Daphnia pulex: one gene and its partner. The protein of the gene in region 1 purifies or fractionates together with the protein of each later gene. This does not show direct contact. Links are inferred from orthologs where the notes say so. Each region holds a gene or a part of one and is shown in the gene's direction. Other genes may lie near its edges. The genes, in order: contactin-like and neurexin-4-like.

The links.
Region 2: the proteins of contactin-like (region 1) and neurexin-4-like purify together in Drosophila melanogaster (affinity purification with western blotting; 4 studies listed by BioGRID). This does not show direct contact. The link is inferred for Daphnia pulex from reciprocal best matches to the Drosophila melanogaster genes Cont and Nrx-IV.

What each region holds. Positions count from the first base shown.
Region 1 is NC_060028.1:7,915,798-7,920,384, reverse strand, and holds the start of contactin-like, read left to right. Parts: upstream 1-1,634; 5' UTR 1,635-1,776; exon of another isoform or gene 1,777-1,843; 5' UTR 1,844-1,854; coding exon 1,855-2,391; intron 2,392-2,451; coding exon 2,452-2,768; intron 2,769-2,838; coding exon 2,839-3,454; intron 3,455-3,512; coding exon 3,513-3,671; intron 3,672-3,744; coding exon 3,745-3,938; intron 3,939-4,020; coding exon 4,021-4,233; intron 4,234-4,299; coding exon 4,300-4,587. Other genes in the region: myoneurin-like, read left to right, coding at 1-32, 121-225, 480-1,150. UniProt on the Drosophila melanogaster protein: Required for organization of septate junctions and paracellular barrier functions.
Region 2 is NC_060021.1:7,495,635-7,500,125, forward strand, and holds the end of neurexin-4-like, read left to right. Parts: coding exon 1-696; intron 697-766; coding exon 767-2,172; intron 2,173-2,242; coding exon 2,243-2,525; intron 2,526-2,591; coding exon 2,592-3,463; 3' UTR 3,464-3,748; downstream 3,749-4,491. Other genes in the region: solute carrier family 12 member 9-like, read left to right, coding at 4,135-4,465. UniProt on the Drosophila melanogaster protein: Seems to play a role in the formation and function of septate junctions.

The sequences.
Region 1 (4,587 bases):
GGCGTGGACCACTTTCAATTCCGCCGGAACAGGTATGTACATCCGTTTAGATTCAAACGTCTCTTTTGCTATTATATAAGATCTAATAACCTCGTGTAATTGTGTAATCAATTGTAAAAGAAAATCGAAATGCCAAAAGGAAACGTGCAGCAACAGAGACGCCCGGGACCTCGGATGATTCGACTGGAAGGCCAAAGCGGCCAAAAACTAATGACAACAAGCAGGGTATTTATTATTGTATTTCCGTCTAGACTTGATTGATGCCCAATTGGCTCCATTTTTTCTTTTGATGTGACGTCAAGACTGATTCAGTTGACGTCACAACAATTTTGGGGGGTTCTCTTATAATCTCATCCCTTTGCGGGGTGCCTTTTTTAGCGGGGTTCTACTCTAAGGATTTAATTGTGGAGCTTGCTTGTCAATACTCTTGAGGAATTTTTATTCTGTTTATGATATTTACTGACTGTTTTTCTATTCAGAAATGATTGTAGGTAGGGACGCAAACACACATCAAGCCATCAGCGGATCATCAGGAGTTACAGACATCCGGATGGAGGCCGTTTTTCAAGAGTCTCGTATACAGCAAAGTTACTCCATAGTAACGAACGCCTTGGCCTCAACTGAACGAGCTCCAACAGTTCACAGTTCGACAACTCTTGAGAAAAAAACATGGAATTTTAGTGGGAAACACAGCGCAGAAGCTGTGGTTGAAATTCAACGCCTTCAAGGTTTCTCTAATTCGCATGGCGGACTGAGTAACAACGACCCTAATTTTAGTAGGAATTCCGTTGGTCTACGTTGCGATGAGGACGAAGAAGAGGATGAGGATGAAGATATTTTGTCAACCAACTTAAGCTTAAGCACTAGTAAAAATGGTAACTGCAGTAGTTCTAAGCATACAGTGAAGACAAAAAGGCCGAATGAAAACATGCGTGCAAACAGCATGAGTTCTAAGCGTAATCATAAAGAACGTTACAGCTGTCAAGTCTGCCGTAAAATGTTCCCGACACCTAGCAATTTAGCTGCCCATTTTAGGATCCATTCGGGAACGAAACCTTTTAAATGTGACCTCTGTTCCCGGTCATTTCGCCAGAAAATTCATTTACAGAGTCATATGCGTAGCATTCACAAGATCATAGTTGACAAGTGATTCAGTTAAATTTTGTTAATACTGACGATCAATTAATTGATCTACCTAAAAATACTTGTTTCCAAAAACGTTCATACATTGATCCTCTTTAACATTTCACCATATGTTCCTGGAAACTTGCACTCGTGTTAACTGGTGAAAATAATACAGATGTATTTTGTAATTGTGTGAATTTTTAAAGCTCAAGAAAATCACCGGGTATAGACCGGAAGCAAAGTGGACAGCTTCAGTTTTGGTATCCCATTCCCCGTAACTCAATTTTCATATCGAAGTTCAAGTTCAACACAATCTGATATTTACTTTGAATCACACAAAATTTATTTGTACAACTCCGAACGGAATAAATGGTTTGCAGAATTGTATGAATAAAATAAAAAATTTAAATCATCGGTCATCGAATACGACGGATGTTATTTTGGCGATTTGGCAACCATCGCGTCTTACCTGCAATTGGTTGAAATGTGCTTCTTCGCCTACACCTGCTAAGCTTTTTCTTTGGGTGTTGGCTTTGGCAGTTTGTTGTTTGGTTTACCTGGTTTACCTGTTGGGCAACTTGCAGTTGTCACTATGAATTTTTAAAGTAACGTTTTACTTTTTATTTCGTTTTCGAACTTCTCTGGTTAAAGGTAAGTCATTTAATCTCATTGAATTCAACGCCATCGTTTTAATTCATAATTATTTTTTTTCAAACAGTGATAGCTGCAATGAATCCTGTCACGTTGTTACTCTTCACATTCCTTGTTTGGGAATCAAATGCACAACTTTTAACGTCGCCCAACAGTTTATTTGGACAAACTAATGTCAAAAGTGAAACTTATGATCCTGATGCAATCTGTCCAAAATCTTGGGTGCACTACGCCACGTCATGTTACAAATTCATTCGAAGCCCAATCAAAACTAGAGATGAAGCTAGGCAGTACTGCAGAGCTTTCAACTCTGACTTAACCAGTGTAAACACACTTGAAGAACATAGTTTTATCACAACATACCTCAACAAGAATGACCCCAGCCATAGAATTTGGTACATCAGTGGAAGACAACAAAGCCCAGGTGTATGGATCAACGATGGAGATGGCACTACCATGATGAATCTTGATACAGCCTTCTTACCTAATCAAGAAACTGTCTTTGAAAAGGACTTCTTATCTTATGGTTATTCACTCTCAGCTAGACAGTGGGGTCTTTTGCGTGTGGATGGAAAAGACCCATTGCTTTATATCTGTGAAATTCCTGTCAATCAGGTATTTATACAAAAAATTATTTCTAAATTTTCTTGTATTAATAAATATCCTTCTTGCTAGGTGAATTTATTGGATGTGGAAGACAGAACATTTCAGTATGGAATTGTTGTAAATGATATCACTAGAATTCCGCGTGGGCCTTACTTTATTCGGCAACCAGTGCCTGTGGTATTTGATCTGACCAGAAGGAAGACATTGAATCAAGTTACCCTTAGTTGTATAGCAAATGGTTACCCTACTCCAGAATTCCAATGGTACAAAGAAGATTTTGAAAGCGACCAGCTTGTTTCCAAACGGATTGATCCGCTTCTAATGCCACGACATACTGTCAGTGGTGGTTTGCTAATTATTACCAATCCAGAGGAAATCAAAGACAGGTAATTTTAAAATTAAAATGTTAGTTATCCACGTCGTATTATATTGATATTTGTGTAATTTGTTTTGCAGAGGAAAATATCATTGCGTAGCCAGCAACCAATACGGGTCTATCGTATCCGAGAGTGTGCAACTTTCCTTTGGCTTCATTGGAGAATTCAATCTCAAGCGTTCATCAGAAAACGGTCTTGAACATTGGGGAAAAGCGATTTATTGTGATCCTCCTCAATACTTCCCTGATATCCAATACTATTGGGTCCGCGATGTTTTCCCCAATTTCGTAGAAGAGGATTCACGAACTTTTGTTTCTTTCGACGGAAACTTGTATTTTTCATCCCTTGAAAATATCGATCGAGGCCGCTATTCCTGCAATGTGCAAAGTACCGTTTCCAGTAACGGTCGTAATGGACCTTTCTTTTCGGTCGAAGTTCGCCAGCATCCTAATTACCAACAGCTCAAATTCCCAAACAATTTCCCCAAGAGTTTCCCAGAAGCCCCAAGAGTTGGTGAAGATGTTCGACTTGAATGCGTAGCATTTGGTTACCCTGTCCCTAATTACAATTGGACTCGTAAAGGAGCTCCATTACCTAAGGGTGTTGTCATCACAAACTACAACCGAATTCTCGTTTTACCCAAAGTAAAAGTTGAAGATATGGGAGAATATGTTTGCCGCGCCACCAATGACAAGGTATTTCGCAATCTTAATTTCTTTTCTGTATTTAATTTAACATTTTCCGGTTTTTAAGGTTTCAATTGAAGGGTCTGTGACAGTTAGCGTTCAAGCCACACCAGTATTTACAATTCCGCTTGGAGATATGCATATGGACAGGGGCGAAGATTTGTTGTGGACTTGTGAAGCATTTGGCATACCCGACGTCAATTATCTGTGGCTACGAAACGGACAGGTTGGTTTCTAATGACTTGATGCGTAAACTGAAACAGTAACGTTATATATCGACTTTTAAATTCGTTTCATAGGTTCTCGACCCTCTTTCGCTTGAGCAAGGAGATCGCGAACGCTTCGAGATCCGTGAAAATGTTTTGATTATACGCAAACTGGACCCAGACCGTGATCAAGCAATGTATCAGTGCAAAGCTTCGAATCAAATTGCGGAGAGGTACTCATCCGGCCAGCTGAGAATCTTGGACATAAAGCCTTCGTTTGCTAAAAAGTATGTTTCCTTCTCTCTTCATTTATTCTTTAAGCTTTATCTTGGTATAATTATTTAATCGTACTACCTTGTTTCCTCAAAGGCCTTTGGAATCCGACATTTATGCTGCTGACGGAGGAAACGTAACTATTGCATGCAACCCGGAAGCTGCACCTCGACCGAAATATGTGTGGAGGAAAGATGGCTTCGCTATTGGTTCTGGTGGAAGAAGAATTATTCTTCCATCTGGACACTTGCTTATCAATCCCGTCTCTATGGAAGACGTTGGAAATTTCACTTGCACTGCCGAAAATCGGTAAGAAAAAATAATAACTTCAGATTAAATCTCAATTGTTTTTCATGTTTTTGTTGTGGTCTATAGGTTTGGCTCGGATTCTAGTACAGGGCGCGTCATTGTTTTGCGTGGGCCAGTATTCGTGGAGGAACCTCCTAACCGCATCCTCACCACAGTAGGACAGACGGAACAGTTACGTTGTCGAGCGTCGGCAGAGGGCATCCTTGATTTGGCTTACATCTGGAAACACAATGGAATTACATTGCGGTTTGATTCGTCTCCCGTCGACTTTCACGATAATTTGGAAGCGGCTCACTACATCCGCTCAAGAGAAGGCAGTCTTGAAATCAATAACATAACATTGGGTCAAGCTGG
Region 2 (4,491 bases), on another chromosome or scaffold:
CGCGCAATTTGGAAAATGACCCCATCACGTCACGGAGAGACAGCATTCAACTTCGCTTCCGTACCAATCGAGCTGATGGAGTTCTTATTTACAGTCGTGGTAGCCAAGGCGATATTTTTGCCTTACAGCTGGTTAACAATAGAATGCTACTAAACATCGACCTGGGCGCTGGCCTACTGACCAGCCTTTCAGTTGGCAGCTTACTCGATGACAATCTTTGGCACGATGTAAGAATCCTCCGTAACCGACGCGAAGTTATTTTTACTGTCGACCGCGTTATGATCCGAGAAAAAGTGAAGGGAGATTACGCTCAACTGGACCTTAACCATAATTTCTATATTGGCGGTGTCCCCAATATGCAAGAAGGCCTCGTCGTGACTCAGAATTTCACCGGTTGCATTGAGAACATGTATTTGAATTACACCAATGTAATCCAGGCCGTCAAGGACTATCGGCATGAAGATTATTACAAATACCAGCGAGTTCAAGCCCTCAGCTCCTGCCCTCAGGAACCTATCGTGCCTATTACTTTCCTGACTGCCAACTCTTATGCCAAATTACCCGGGTACGAAGGCGTTAGTTCCCTGAACTTATCATTAGATTTTCGTACTTTTGAAGAAAATGGACTTCTTGCTTACCATCGTTTCACGTCTCCTGGATTCGTGAAACTATTTATTGAAACCGGAAAAATTAAAGGTAATTTTCTATTGTTATATCTGTAGTAGAATCAAAAGATGTAATAACTAATTTTCTTTTGCTATTGTAGTTGAAATTGCTGCCGAAAATGTGCCCAAAGTTACCCTCGACAACTTCGGAACGGATCTGCTCAATGACGGACGTTGGCACAAAGTTATCATGACACTTTCAACTAATTCCATGGTGTTGAGCGTCGATGGCCGCCCAATGAAAACTGTACGCCTCATGACTTTCCGCACAGGATCGAGCTACTTGATTGGTGGTGGCGTTCCCAGCTCATCTGGTTTCATTGGCTGCATGCGCCAAATCAATGTTGACGGACATTACAAGAGCCCACTGAACTGGAAAGACGAAGAATTCTGCTGTAAGGGTGAAATTGTCTTCGATGCCTGCCAAATGGTTGATCGCTGCAACCCCAATCCTTGCGAGCACAGAGGAGTCTGCAAGCAAACATCCGAAGAATTCTATTGCGATTGCGCCGGAACTGGTTACGCTGGAGCGGTTTGCCACATGTCAGCTAATCCTGTCTCTTGTGAGAGCTTCCGACAATCCGGAGCCAATGCCAGCCCTGTTGATATCAGCATTGATGTTGATGGAAGTGGTCCGCTACGTGCATTCCCTGTCACTTGCGAATTCTTCAGCGACGGCCGAACATACACCTACGTCGGACACAAGAATGATCAAACAACGGTTGTTAACGGCTTTGAAGCACCTGGTAGCTTCGTTCAAGATATTGCCTACAATGCTGACGTTGACCAAATGGAGATCTTGATGAACCGTTCCTACACCTGTCGCCAGCGTCTCCGCTATGAATGCCGTCGTTCGCGTTTGCTCAACTCACCGTCACCGGAAACGCAAGAATTCCGTCCCTACAGTTGGTGGATGTCGAGGCAAAATCAGCGAATGGATTACTGGGCTGGCGCGCTTCCCGGCTCGCGCAAATGCGAATGCGGTATCGACGGAACTTGTGTGGATCGCACCAAATGGTGTAACTGCGATGCTGCGTTGGACACTTGGACAGCTGACGAAGGAGAAATTTTAGACAAGGAATACCTCCCTGTACGCCAATTGCGTTTCGGAGACACTGGCACTCCTTTGGATGAGAAAGAAGGAAAGTACACTTTGGGCCCTCTTCTTTGCGAAGGTGATGTCTTGTACGACAATGTGGTAACATTCCGTGTGGGAGATGCCACCATCGATTTCCCCACCTTCGATATGGGTCACAGTGGTGACTTGACTTTTGAATTCAAGACCACAGTTCAAAATGCTGTGTTGATCCATAGCAAAGGACCGAGCGATTTCATCAAAGTGTCCATTTCTGGTGGCGACACTTTACAGTTTGAGTATCAAGCTGGATCTGGAGCTCGTACTGTAACTGTCGAAACATCCAACAAGTTGAGCGATAATCAGTGGCACTCTGTTTCTATCGAGCGTAATCGCAAGGAAGCTCGTATGATTGTTGATGGAGCTTTAAAGGTATTTCATCACGTTTATTGTAAAAAAAAATAGTGTGAAATTGCATTAAAGTATTTTTTTTTCTAACCAGTCGCAAATTCGAGAACCTCCTGGACCCATTAGGGCTATGCTCTTGACTTCACCTCTTGTGGTGGGTGCCACTGTCGATTACCGCGATGGATTTGTTGGTTGCATGCGTGGCCTAATGGTTAACGGCCGTCATCTTGACATGAGAGCTGCTGCTCTGGCTGGTCTTTACGGTATCGGCATCGGGTGCACGGGTAAGTGTGACAGTAATCCGTGCCTCAACAATGGAACTTGCCACGAGAAATACGACAGCTATCATTGCGACTGTCGATTCACATCATTCAAAGGTAATTAAATTCTTTTGGTCTCTTTGGTTTTATAACAATTGTTAATGGTTTTCTTTTAATTTTCAGGTCCCATCTGTGCCGACGAAATTGGTGTCAATATGCAGAGCAATTACATGATTCAGTACGATTTTGCTGGATCATACAAATCGACGCTGTCTGAAAAGATTCGTGTTGGATTCACTACAACAGACCCCAAGGGAATCCTCATGGGTCTTTATTCTGACATCAGCAAGGAATATCTCACATTGCAGGTGTCAAATAGTGGCCATCTGCGTCTGGTTTTCGACTTTGGGTTTGAACGTCGTGAAATTATCTTCGAGGACCAGAATTTCGCTACTGGCCAATTTCACGATGTGCGGATTCGACGGGAAGAATCAGGCACTCGGGTTGTAATGGAAGTTGACAGCTACGAACCTCGATCAATTACTTACAAGATTAACCCTTCGGCCGACGCCCAGTTTAACAACATTCAACATCTTTACCTTGGACGAAACAAAACTATGGCCGAAGGTTTTATCGGCTGTATTTCTCGTGTCGAATTTGATGACATATATCCACTCAAGTGGCTATTTCAACAGAATCCTCCTCCAAATATCATGAAGGAACCCAGTTCCATATCAGAGGATTTCTGTGGCATTGAACCTGTCACCAACCCACCGGATGTACGAGAGACGAGACCTCCTCCCATCGTCGATGAGGACAAACTACAAGAGTTTTATCCACCAGCTCATTCCGCTATTTTGGGCGGCATTTTAGCTGTCCTCTTCATTGCCCTTGTTTGTATGGCTATCCTAATCGGACGTTATATGTCTCGCCACAAGGGAGATTATGTTACGCAAGAAGACAAGGGAGCAGAGTACGCGCCAGATGAGCATTTTGCCGTCATGCAAGGAGCTACAGGTCATCAAGTTCAACAAAAGAAGGAAATTTTTATCTAGACTGTGTATCATTTAGAAGAAAACAACAATTGGAGCGAAAGTATGATTTTTTGGATGACTGACATGTTATCTTGGTTGACCCTTTTCCGTCCCTTTCCGTGAATCTCACGTGCAGTTTTTTCCCATTTTATAAGCCATCACGTTTTTATTACATTCACTTTTTCTCCCATCTTTGATTGTGATCGCCAATTCCATTTTTTCTTATCTCTTTCATTACATTAGGTGACTTGATGTGGTTGTTGTGCATTGTCGATGACGAGGAAATAGAATTCTTTTGTTAACTGATTTCATTTTTATTTTTATTCGGGAAACCAATTCAAAGAGGAGTTGGAAATTTGGAATCATGTGGTTTCCTTTTCCGGTTACGCAATGAACGCCTCTACGCTCTCTGGTGTTCTACTTTCTAATCATGAAAGCAGACGGCATTATGACTTTTTATATTTTTATTGTGTATTATAATCTGATCGTGTCAGTGTGATTGAAGCATCGGGCCGTCTGACACTACTCTATAAACCTGTGGAGGAGTGGGTGTGTTTATTCAAACACAGCTTTCCAAGTCCTTGGATAGTATTGTTCGACTTGTCAAACAAGAAAGTAAAATTTAGTTTTTAACTGTAAAACTCAATTAATGTCTCACGTAAATGTTTTTTTTTTTTTTCAACTAAATTAGAATGGACGATGCTATTGATGTTATGGGGGTTACCCATGATGAATCCTTTAACTCAGCAGAGCAGACTCCCTTACTTTCCCACAGGCGACTGATTCGTAGTCTGAGTAGTGTCCAACCTCCAAACCATGCTGCCTGCTTGCGTGTACCCAGAAGACATGTGTCAGAACAAAGTTGGACACATTTGAGTGAATTCATTCATTATGATGAACCTGCTCAAGCACCTACTGAGGAAGATGAGGAACAAAAATCCCACAGAACTCTAGGAACAATTGCTGGAGTATTTAGCCCTGTTTCTTTGTCAATGTTTTCAGCTCTTTTGTTCCTTCGAGTAGGTAAGATTAAATATAATACTTCAGTA